Saccharomyces cerevisiae S288C: one gene and its partners. The protein of the gene in region 3 binds, or shares a complex with, the protein of the main gene of each other region. Each region holds a gene or a part of one and is shown on either strand. Other genes may lie near its edges.

Evidence for each region.
Region 1: IMG2 (region 3) and MNP1 share a complex: the UniProt entries of both Saccharomyces cerevisiae proteins name them as parts of the mitochondrial large ribosomal subunit.
Region 2: IMG2 (region 3) and MRPL6 share a complex: the UniProt entries of both Saccharomyces cerevisiae proteins name them as parts of the mitochondrial large ribosomal subunit.
Region 4: IMG2 (region 3) and MRPL22 share a complex: the UniProt entries of both Saccharomyces cerevisiae proteins name them as parts of the mitochondrial large ribosomal subunit.

What each region holds. Positions count from the first base shown.
Region 1 is NC_001139.9:373,281-376,245, forward strand, and holds MNP1 (mitochondrial 54S ribosomal protein bL12m MNP1), read left to right. Parts: upstream 1-1,806; coding exon 1,807-2,391; downstream 2,392-2,965. Other genes in the region: DNA-binding transcription factor AFT1, read left to right, coding at 1-804; DNA-directed RNA polymerase II core subunit RPB9, read right to left, coding at 1,179-1,547; NPY1 (NAD(+) diphosphatase), read left to right, coding at 2,821-2,965. UniProt on the Saccharomyces cerevisiae protein: Component of the mitochondrial ribosome (mitoribosome), a dedicated translation machinery responsible for the synthesis of mitochondrial genome-encoded proteins, including at least some of the essential transmembrane subunits of the mitochondrial respiratory chain.
Region 2 is NC_001140.6:392,139-394,881, reverse strand, and holds MRPL6 (mitochondrial 54S ribosomal protein uL6m MRPL6), read left to right. Parts: upstream 1-1,598; coding exon 1,599-2,243; downstream 2,244-2,743. Other genes in the region: SKG6 (Skg6p), read left to right, coding at 1-427; snoRNA-binding rRNA-processing protein IMP3, read right to left, coding at 797-1,348. UniProt on the Saccharomyces cerevisiae protein: Component of the mitochondrial ribosome (mitoribosome), a dedicated translation machinery responsible for the synthesis of mitochondrial genome-encoded proteins, including at least some of the essential transmembrane subunits of the mitochondrial respiratory chain.
Region 3 is NC_001135.5:239,586-242,382, reverse strand, and holds IMG2 (mitochondrial 54S ribosomal protein mL49 IMG2), read left to right. Parts: upstream 1-1,839; coding exon 1,840-2,280; downstream 2,281-2,797. Other genes in the region: RSA4 (Rsa4p), read left to right, coding at 31-1,578; peptidylprolyl isomerase family protein CPR4, read right to left, coding at 2,372-2,797. UniProt on the Saccharomyces cerevisiae protein: Component of the mitochondrial ribosome (mitoribosome), a dedicated translation machinery responsible for the synthesis of mitochondrial genome-encoded proteins, including at least some of the essential transmembrane subunits of the mitochondrial respiratory chain.
Region 4 is NC_001146.8:303,165-306,592, reverse strand, and holds MRPL22 (mitochondrial 54S ribosomal protein uL22m MRPL22), read left to right. Parts: upstream 1-1,977; coding exon 1,978-2,907; downstream 2,908-3,428. Other genes in the region: TDA7 (Tda7p), read left to right, coding at 1-1,523; 40S ribosomal protein uS3 RPS3, read right to left, coding at 3,191-3,428. UniProt on the Saccharomyces cerevisiae protein: Component of the mitochondrial ribosome (mitoribosome), a dedicated translation machinery responsible for the synthesis of mitochondrial genome-encoded proteins, including at least some of the essential transmembrane subunits of the mitochondrial respiratory chain.

The DNA of each region.
Region 1 (2,965 bases), on a different chromosome or scaffold from region 3:
AATTTGAACGAAATTGACTTTACGAACATTTTTACCAAATCGCCGCATCCACATAGCGGGTCTACCCATCCAAGACAAGTCTTCGACCAATTGGACGATTGTTCCTCTATACTCTTCTCTCCATTAACTACAAACACGAATAATGAATTTGAAGGAGAGTCAGATGATTTTGTTCATTCTCCATATTTGAACTCAGAGGCAGATTTCAGCCAAATTCTTAGTAGTGCTCCCCCAGTCCATCATGACCCAAATGAAACACATCAGGAAAACCAGGATATTATTGATAGATTTGCTAATAGTTCCCAAGAACATAATGAGTATATTCTACAATATTTGACGCACTCCGATGCTGCTAACCACAATAACATCGGCGTTCCAAACAACAATTCACATTCGCTAAATACTCAGCATAACGTTTCTGATCTGGGCAACTCACTTTTAAGACAAGAAGCTTTAGTTGGCAGCTCTTCAACAAAAATCTTCGACGAATTGAAATTTGTACAAAATGGCCCACACGGTTCTCAACATCCTATAGATTTTCAACATGTTGACCATCGTCATCTCAGCTCTAATGAACCTCAAGTACGATCACATCAATATGGTCCGCAACAGCAGCCACCGCAGCAATTGCAATATCACCAAAATCAGCCCCACGACGGCCATAACCACGAACAGCACCAAACAGTACAAAAGGATATGCAAACGCATGAATCGCTAGAAATAATGGGAAACACATTATTGGAAGAGTTCAAAGACATTAAAATGGTGAACGGCGAGTTGAAGTATGTGAAGCCAGAAGATTAGCATATAGATGAAATCAAACTTAGACGTATCTCTCGTCCATTTTCATTACATTTTCATCTTTCTTCATTAATTATATACTGAACATATACGCATCTATACAATTTTGACTTTTTAAAGAAGAAAAAGAAAACAATAGTATACATTCTTTTTTCTACTTTTGTTACAGATAAAAAATCGTTCTTATTATATTACATATATCGGTGCTAAGATCAGGATTTTTTCATGTTCCTTCCCCCTGTTATTTCACATCATCCTTTTGCCGGTAGATTAGGCTGGTGTAAATAGTAGTGCTTTTCTCATACATACAAGACATACGTGAAGATAAGTCCCATTTTCTCTCCCTCTGTCATTAATTTTGAAAGTTCGTTGAGCACTCATGAAAACTGCGTCCTTTTGTTTTTTTGATCTGAAGTAAATATGTGTGAGCAAGATAAGCACACAAAGAATAAAACCATCGAAGTATCCTTTCTTCTTTGTTGTGATTGAAAAAACACATTTTCCCGAGAGTGACATTTGGGACATTCTCTATCAGATCTCGGAAGAGTGGGATCGGAACCAATATCTTGCACCACTCCCGCAGTTTCACCAATGTTGGTAATCAATTCATGCCTGTAGACCAATGGACTGCCCGCTTCTTCTACATACGAGCATGTTCTGCATTCAAATAACAACCGGTTATTTTCTTTATCCTCACGAGGGTACAACATATTGTTGCAGTCACGACAAAATCTAAACGTAGTCATAGCAGTTTTAAGGGGAGTTTAACTTGCTCTTTTGGCTAGATTTTGTAACTTTCGTTCTACCTAGAATCTGCTCTTGTTCCATTTGACTTACTCTTTAACGCTATTCACCAAAACAAAATTTTTCAACTTACCCGCCCTATGTCTTGAAGTCCAATAAAACAACTCAAACTAATGGCAAACAAGAACTCGGTAAGTTCTGGAAGGAACAGGACAAGCAGCCCGTCAGCAGCAAACACAGTCAATTAAATAAGCGCCCAGTATGTCCTTACGTATACTAGCGAAGAGATCTTCTTCTATCTGGATGAAAACGCGCGTTACACCAGCGCTAATTTCTCCTATTACTATCACAACCCGTTTCAATTCTACGACTACAACAGCACCATCACATAAGGATGATGTAAGGCCAGTTGATCCTAAAATTTCTAAAATTGTACAGGACATTTCACAATTGACTCTTTTGGAAACTTCCAGTTTAATCAACGAGCTGAAAACCGTATTGAACATTCCAGAAATTTCCATGCCTATGGGCGGATTCATGGCAGGCGCTGCAGGCGCAGGTGCTGGTAATGTACCTAGCTCCACTGGTGAAGCTGGTAGTGGTGCTGAAGAAGAAGCTAAGCCTGAGGCAAAGACCGTGTTTACGGTGAAGTTGGACTCGTTCGACACGAAGACTAAGGCTAAAGTCATCAAGGAAGTCAAGGGATTATTGGGGCTTTCATTAGTTGAAGCTAAGAAATTCGTTGAAGCTGCACCAAAGGTCTTGAAAGAAAATGTCGCCAAGGATGATGCTGAAAAGATTAAGAAAACCTTGGAAGACTTAGGAGCTAAGGTCAGTTTAGAATGATTTTAAAACTGTAGCAATCTACCAATCGTGTTAATCAAAATAGTCTGTTTTCTCTTCGAGAAAATAAGGAATATATCATGTAAATATGTTTAACTCTTTATTCTTCTTTCGTCCTGCCTTTTATATATTTTGCCACATCGCTTCTTGCAAGTAGATGTATAAAAATGATTGATTTCCTTATTATTTTCTATAGTATCTTCAACTTCATTATGGCATTCGTTTTCGTGTTATAAGTATTTCAGACGGGCTAATCTATCACTTCATAAATCTACTTTTCCAACTTACAAAAGCGGTTGCTTTTCTTCGAAATATAAAGCCCACCAACCATAAGAATAAAGAACAAGAGCAGGAGCGAAACGAAAGAGAAGATAAAGATTGTACCTTTTTGCTCCTGATTTTTTTTTGATTACGCTACGGTTAGTTGAGAGAATGTCCACTGCTGTGACTTTTTTTGGCCAGCATGTCTTGAACAGAGTTTCGTTCTTAAGATGTTCGAAAGAGTTCATCAAAAAATCATTGAACCATGACTCTACCGTTTTTATCCCATTTATCGAAGGGGAAGCCCTCATTTCGC
Region 2 (2,743 bases), on a different chromosome or scaffold from region 3:
TGCGTTAAATCCGGTCGATCATCCGGAAATGTTTTATTCACCGACAAACGATGCCTATTATGCTCCACAGCAGCAAGGCCAATATATGAAGTTTAACGAAAATGGGGCGGTTCCTTCACCTTATCAACTTAGACAAAGTGTGGTAATGACCAATCCTTCGGATTTGACGGCAAAACCATCTTATAAGCCAGCAGGTTCTTTCAGAAGTGTAAGCGCAACCAATTCAAGAAATAACAGTCTGACCACACAAAATAATATCTATCTGCAACAGCAGCAGCAGCAACTGTATAATTCTCGTGTTAGTGGGATATTAGAAGAGACAGATGTTGTACAGCCACCAAGTGTTGGTGGAATTTTGCCACATAGTGGTTCACAGGACGATTTAAGAAAACAATTAGGCTCTTCACATAATTATACCGTCAACTGAAGTGTAGATAATGAACGGACAATTATCGGATATATAAATTGATGTTTTATTGGAGAAATTTTACAAATTGCGTATTTATACAAATTAATTTATGTTAAATAGGATTTTTTCGAAGTGTATTTTTAAGTTTTAAGGCATATTTAACAAATGACGCCGATGAGAAATTGTTTTGCGGTTTTTCTTATTTTTGCATACGACGAAGAAGTTCCTTTGTGTATATAACAATTTTTCATGCTTCCAGCTTTTAAGAAAGCTCAGGCGCCTCACATCATTTGTATTTGCTGCCTCGTTGCCTATTCGTAATAATTTCACAATGTAGGAAGATGATAAATCGAGTATTGATACAGAAAACGTAAGTTTGTAGTCAATTTATGAAAAATCAAAATCGTCGATTTGGTTTCTGTATCTCAACAAGGTTTTCTTGATCTTAGAGTTGTCCACCCAAGTAACGTAGTCCTCCATATTTCTCGTTACGAGGTAGGCTGGATCGTTGATCAAATTTGGACCCACGCGAACATGCCCTTGTTCAATGAACTTGACTGCATCTTGTATAGTTTCCGCCATTTTTAATCTATGCATTATTACAGGTAATCGCCTCCTACAGATGGCACTAACAGTAACTTTATTTTCCAGATCAGAAATCTTTGATTTAGTTGTCAGGACACCCATAGCGTATAGCTTGTCCAGTAATAATTGCTCATGTTTGCGACGAAATGGATCAGTGGGAGGTAATAATGATAATTTATTGGCAAGACGACGAATATCACCGCATATCCTATTGTATTTATGATAATCTTCACGATTCTGAATATGATATGTTCTCATGACCTGAGTGTCCCGGTGGCCTTGGTCCTGCTTCCATTCAAGGAAGTCTACTTTTTTCAATAACTTTTGCTCATGATGCTTTAGTTTTCTAACCATTATTGGTTGTGATTATGCCTGGTGGTTTATCTATTTAGAACGTTCTATATTACTTATCCCATTGAATTTTTGTTGCGATGAGCTTATATCAGTGAAATTTTTTTCACTGGAAGTAGAGGGTAATGAAAGGCGAGCGGAAATAGCGAGGAGACGCTACGGTTATAGAGGAAGAATATCAAATACTAGTAAGTAAGGGAAGATCACGCAATAAAGCTATCGCAAATCTTACTATAGGAATTGAGGCCAACCTATGTCATTTATTCAGAGGAGGTTATTGTCGCAAACACTTTTTCTGCGCTCTCAAGTGGGGTCTTTACCACTTTATATATCTCCTGAAGTTCAGGTTTCCATAAATGCATTATCCATGCCCAGGATTATCAGAAAAGGTAGAACTTCAATGAATATATCACAGAATATCACAGTAAAGGGACCCAAGGGTGAATTGTCCGTGGAGGTCCCTGATTTTTTGCACTTGGACAAGGATGAAAAGCACGGTAAAATAAATGTTACAGTTCAGAATTCAGAAGATAAACATCAACGTTCGATGTGGGGTACAGTAAGATCACTTATAAATAATCACATTATAGGTGTTACTGAGGGGCATCTTGCTGTCCTTAGATTTGTAGGGACAGGTTATAGAGCTCAATTAGAAAATGATGGTAAATTTGTCAACGTTAAGGTGGGTGCATCTATCAAACAAGGATTGGACGTTCCTGAAGGTATTGTTGTCAAAACACCTGCTCCCACGTCTCTGATTATTGAAGGGTGCAATAAGCAGCAGGTCCTTCTTTTTGCTGCCAAATTGAGAAAATTCCATCCACCAGAGCCGTATAAAGGCAAAGGAATATACGTTAACGATGAAACAATAAAGCTAAAGGACAAGAAAATCAAATAACTTCAGGATTTCAGTTATTTTCGTACTCATTTTCGTAATTTTTTTTATGACATGTATCTTTTCTTATACTTTATAGGGAATACCTTGTAAATATCCTATGAAAATAACTTAAATGAAATTTATATTGGTTATTAATGCGGTGACGTGTTCTTGCTTGGTAAACATTTTGGTGTTCAATGAAACTCTTGGCTTGCAACCTTTAATATATACTAGTTTCACGGAATATGAACGCAATAAGTAAGGCCACAGAAGTTCGAACCTTACCTTTCATTTTATACAGTTTCGAAAAGGGAACACCATTTAGACTAGAAACCAAATATCCTCTTTAACGTTCTGCTAATGCTATATATTTTTTGATTCCAACGCTAATAAAGATTTTTTTTCTTGAGTACTTTTCATGTTTTGTTGTAGAGAGCCCATTTAAAACAAAGATGTTTACCAGAAAACAAAAGAAAAGATCAAATAAGTGAGTAAATGAAATGCTGTACCTTCCAATTTCT
Region 3 (2,797 bases):
TCGATAAACACACACTAACACAATATACAGATGTCCACCCTGATTCCTCCACCTTCTAAGAAACAAAAGAAAGAGGCTCAACTTCCCAGAGAAGTAGCTATTATTCCGAAAGATTTACCCAATGTTTCAATCAAGTTCCAAGCTTTAGATACTGGTGACAATGTAGGTGGCGCCCTGAGAGTTCCCGGTGCTATCTCCGAGAAACAGTTAGAAGAACTTTTAAATCAATTGAACGGTACTTCAGACGATCCAGTGCCATATACCTTCAGCTGTACAATTCAAGGTAAGAAGGCCAGTGACCCTGTGAAGACGATTGATATAACAGATAACCTATATTCTTCATTAATAAAACCAGGCTATAACAGTACAGAAGATCAGATCACGCTACTGTATACGCCAAGAGCAGTTTTCAAAGTCAAGCCGGTAACTAGAAGTTCATCAGCCATTGCAGGTCACGGTTCCACAATTTTGTGTTCTGCCTTCGCACCACATACGAGTTCTAGGATGGTAACCGGTGCAGGTGATAATACTGCAAGGATTTGGGACTGTGACACCCAAACGCCAATGCATACTCTAAAGGGTCACTACAATTGGGTTCTCTGCGTTTCCTGGTCCCCCGATGGAGAAGTAATTGCTACGGGATCCATGGACAATACCATAAGATTATGGGACCCAAAAAGCGGTCAGTGTCTAGGTGATGCTCTCAGAGGTCATTCCAAGTGGATCACTTCTTTAAGTTGGGAACCTATACATCTTGTGAAGCCGGGCTCCAAACCAAGATTAGCTTCATCTTCTAAGGATGGTACTATTAAGATTTGGGACACTGTGAGCAGAGTTTGCCAGTATACGATGAGTGGTCACACAAATTCAGTGTCTTGTGTCAAATGGGGCGGCCAAGGTCTATTGTATAGTGGCTCTCACGATAGAACCGTACGTGTATGGGACATCAATTCGCAGGGCAGATGTATCAACATTTTGAAGTCGCATGCGCACTGGGTTAATCACTTATCTTTATCTACAGATTACGCATTGCGCATTGGTGCATTCGATCATACAGGTAAGAAGCCTTCTACACCAGAAGAAGCCCAGAAAAAGGCATTGGAAAATTATGAAAAAATCTGTAAAAAGAATGGAAATTCAGAAGAAATGATGGTTACTGCAAGCGATGATTATACCATGTTTTTATGGAACCCACTAAAATCTACCAAGCCTATAGCAAGAATGACCGGTCACCAAAAATTAGTCAATCATGTGGCGTTCAGCCCTGATGGTAGGTATATTGTCTCAGCGTCTTTTGATAACTCTATCAAACTTTGGGACGGTAGAGATGGTAAGTTTATCTCCACATTTAGAGGGCATGTAGCCAGCGTATACCAGGTTGCGTGGTCATCGGACTGCCGACTACTGGTGTCATGTTCCAAAGATACCACGTTGAAAGTGTGGGATGTAAGAACTAGAAAACTTTCTGTTGACCTCCCTGGTCATAAAGACGAAGTTTATACCGTCGACTGGAGTGTCGACGGTAAAAGAGTGTGTAGTGGTGGGAAAGACAAGATGGTAAGATTGTGGACGCATTGAGTTATGTGCAAAGACAAGTAACATACATGCACATATAAATATTATATAACTGTGATATAGAACTGCATTTTTTTCTTTTTGAATATTAAATATGATGGTGTCGCAAGGTCGATCTATAATGGTCATCGCGTACGAATGGCTTGGTATGAATTTAAAATATGGTACTATAAGCAGTATAGCTCCAGCAAGAAGGAAAACCTTTTGAAAGAAGTGCCCGTTTACCTAAAGCAACTTACTCCAAGGTAGCGTGTGAGCAAAACTATGATCAGTTCGTGTGTTACTAGATGTTTTGGTAGGGGTAAATGCCTTCCAGGGCCTGCCACTGCCTCGATATACCAAACGATAAGATGTATATCCACTAATTCAAATAAAGCTGCTGAGGCGCCAATATTTCCAAAGCTGGAAGACGTGAAGATGCATGAGCTCATAGGAAACAACAATTTTGGTAAAAAGACCTACTACGTGGAGAGAAGCAGGACCGGAAATCTACCGGTGTATTCCGCTTATAAAAATGGAGGTAACAAGATTATCACGGAGATCAGAAAGATTGAAGGAGATGTAATTCAACTAAGAAATGACTTGCAGGAGCAACTGCCTTTCATACCCAAAAAATCATGGTCTGTGGTGATGCAATCGAAAAAAATTATTATCAAGGGCAATGCAGTAGAGGCTGTCAAAAGGGTATTAACCAAGAAATTTTAGGTATCGCTAATGTATAAAAAAATAATTGTCATGTATATATATTAATTAAAATCATAGCCATGTGGTCATCAAGCCATCGAAAAGAAGTTGCTTACTTGTGTCTTAATGAAACCGTATGAGGCTTTTCGTGCATGCCCTTGTAGGCAATGAAACAAAGGCCAAGAACAGTTAAACACATCAAGGCTCTGGAAATTGGGTGGTTTAAATCATAGGCGGTGGTTCCAGTGGAGGTGGTTAAAGGTGTGTAGGCTTTATCGTTACGGAAGATGTTTTCCAAAGTGGAGCCAACAGACACATCGCCATTTCTAAACTTCTCGACTTTTTCTGTGTACGCAGCGTGCAAATCTAAGATGTTACTAATTTTTAAGATTTCTAGAACGAAATACAGGAACCGTAATTCATGCTGAGGCTTTCCATATTCGTCTGTTTCTGTGTATTGAATAGCATCCATTAGTTGATCTAGACCAGAAGTTATTTGACCAAACACGACACTTTTGCCATCCAATTCCTCATTTCC
Region 4 (3,428 bases), on a different chromosome or scaffold from region 3:
TGTCATCATCGTCGTCAATAACGTCGGAATGGTCATCGTTAACATCAACAACACCAACGTTATCGTCATCAGCTACATCGCTGTCATCATCATGGTCGTCGTTATCATCACCATCTTCGTTACTGGTATCGTCCTCGTTGTCATTATCACTATCTTCATCATATTCAGACACTAAATTGTTTTCGTTCGACAGCAGATCTTCTATTTTCTCACCATCAACACCCACCGTAATATCCCCTAGTTACACATACTTGTCTTCCATATCTGCAACTTCATTTCAAATTAGTACCACTTCAGAACTCTCTTCTAGTTGGTTCTCAACAATTTCTTCTCCTTCTACGATATCAAATAAAGATACCACATTCCCAAGTTCCAGTCGGAATACTTCCACATCGTTTTACAGTTCATCGCTTTCATCGACGAACGATTTTTCAACCATAAGCAAATCATCGAAACTCAGTCCATCAGCTTCATCTTCGACAGTTTCCATAAGCACGATTTCCGTGCCAACGTCAAGTTCTGTTAGCTCATCCAGCAGTAAAGTACCTTCAAACCGTCCTTCATCATCATCATCATCAGATGATACAACAAGTGCTTACTCAAGCACGTATACTTTTCAGTCCTTACAATCTACTACTAGCAGCAGTATACCACCCACCACTCAAACACCCAGCACTAGTACGATTTCTACGTCTCCCATACCAACATCCAGTCAGGTCTTCAATACGGTAGCCATTTCAAGCTCCGAAGATTCAAAAACTATTTATTATTTCTATACCCAAACATATGATATTACTGACTCCTCTACAACGTTCGTGACGGGATTACCTACGACCATAGCAGTTGCAAAAAGTGAGGTAACCTCATTTTCCGCTCCATCTTCGACGATCACAGCTGACATGTCTTTCTATCAGCACTGGCTTGATGGCAGTTTGGATAATAACAAAAACCAAGGCACTTCAAAGACAAATACTGGTACCATTGTTGGAAGTGTGGTAGGAAGCGTCGGTGGTATTCTTATATGTGTACTAGTAGTTTGGTTCATGCTGGTTAGAAAAAGGAAGGCAAAGAGGCATTTCAAGGAAAACGATTCCTTCTGTCACGAGATTGGGCGCAGAACGGGATTCCCAACAACTGCCCAAGCAAAAGAGGCGTCACTTCAAGCTCAAGACTCGGGATCACAGCAACGAAACACCGAGACTGCTTCTGCTAATAATCCGTTCAGCAACGAATTCAATTTTAAGGCAAGAGGAAATCCTCCTCCAGTGCCACCACCAAGGAATGTTACCGCAATGAATGGCTCCTTTCAAAATATGCGGAGTAATTTCATGGACCAGGAAAACAGATTTTCCTATGGCTCTTCATTTACATATTCGTCATTGGGTTCATCTACTCAAGGTGGCTTTTCTACTTTATCTTCAAATTCGATACGACTCGGACGTGGTTTAGATAATGACATCTCTCATGATGAGAGAAATACAGTTCAGAACAATTCACAAGGGTTCTTGAGGGAAATTATATGACGATGACTTCAGTCTATTAGTATGATGTTTACTAATTAAGCAAAATCAGCTCTTGCTGAATAACACTACTATTAAAAATCATAAAAACATCTTTATTGCCAATAGTGAAGAACGACAAGGCCTTTTAAAAGGCATAAAAAACAATGATACCATTCTGCAATGAAAAAAAAAGAAAACTTTGTTCTTTGTGTATAAAGAAAATATTTTAGTTCTCCTAAATAAATAAATACTAAATTATACGAAACTCTTTCAGTCTTTTCTCCTGCTTGCTGCTTGAACAGTACTCATGATATTCTATTAATCTTCTGTGGGCGGGGTAACTAAGCCTTCACTGTACTCGGGATTTTGAATAAAAGTCAACTATCCAATCTGGAAGGCATTTTAACATACGCCATTAGGAGCCGCATAGCAAGTCAGAGAACCTCACCTCACCCTATCTTTTTTATTAAAGAAAATGAACTTCCACACGGCAAGAATATCTCAGGTCGGTGTCATTTCTAGGGCTCTACTTTCTTCTGTAAGTAGACGTTGGATTCATGTAACGCCAATAAGTCTTAATAATTCAGGAGGATCACTATTCGGAAGCATTACAGAAAATAAACCAAAGGAAGGAAAAAACAGGGGGGATGAAGATGCAGGCAGCTTCTCTAATAGGTTAGCGATTGCTTCTGATTCTTCTGGAGAGGCTCCTGAAGTTAATAGGGATTCAATAACCATAGAAAACGATAAACTACTACAGCAACATATCATATCGTTGCAGCAACCGGAACAATTAGCATCACAGAGCTTATTATCTCCTTTGAAAAGGGAAATATATGAAGCTAATTGTAAAATTAATGGTGGGTTTTACAAGAAAGATACTATTGTAAAGTTACCAAATTCTAGCGAACGTTACAAGCTAAAGTTAACAAAAAGAGAAATTGAAGTACTAGAACCTTCCGTATATGCTCAGTCATATAGAATTAAATCGTCGATGAAAAAGGCTACACTTTTGTTGAGGTTATTGGGAGGCCTCGACGTTATGAAAGCTATATCTCAGTGTCACTTTTCTAATAAGAAAATTGCTCGCGAAGTAGCAGAACTACTTCAAAAAGGTGTAAAAGATGGCCAAAAATTAGGTTTGAAACCAGAGGACTTATATATCTCTCAGATTTGGACAGGGAGTGACGGGTTTTGGAGAAAACGTGTTGAATTCAAGGCAAGGACAAGAATCGGAATCATAAGTCATCCTTACATACATGTCAGATGTATTCTGAGAACAAAGAGTGTTACGAAACGAAGACTTGCTTATGAAGCACATTTAAAAGAGCAAAAAAGAGCGCCATGGGTACAGTTGGGAGATAAGCCCATTAGGGGTGTTACAGGCGGCGTATACAAGTGGTGAAAACGATAGCGAACTCATTCATATCCGAGAAATCGTCCTGTAAGCTGAGAAAGATGAACTGCTACTCACTTCTTAACCTATATTCACAGTTGTGTTGTACAAAACTTTTCTTTTGATTATATAATATTGTGATTCTGTAAATAACAACTAGTTTCAACGCACTGCTTCAACGTGCACCCTCCTGACTAAACACGGCAATATGCAAGAAACCGCAACAATTAAGTGCACTAGAATAGAAGAAATTATTGTACTTATAGTTTATTTATGTATTTAATAATTAAATCTAAGCTTCAACTGGTTCAGCTTGAGCTTCAGTTTCTTCAGCTGGTCTGTAGTCCTTGACAGATGGAGCAAGAATTGGTTCTTCTTCTTTTGGTTCAATGATGGTGACAGCATCTGGCAAAGCCTTTGGACCAGTTCTGCTCTTAGCTGGGTCTCTCATAATCTTAACCTTGATACCCAAAACACCTTGTCTCATCAAGACGTGTCTAGTAGCAGTGTCAATGAAGTCGTTGACTGGT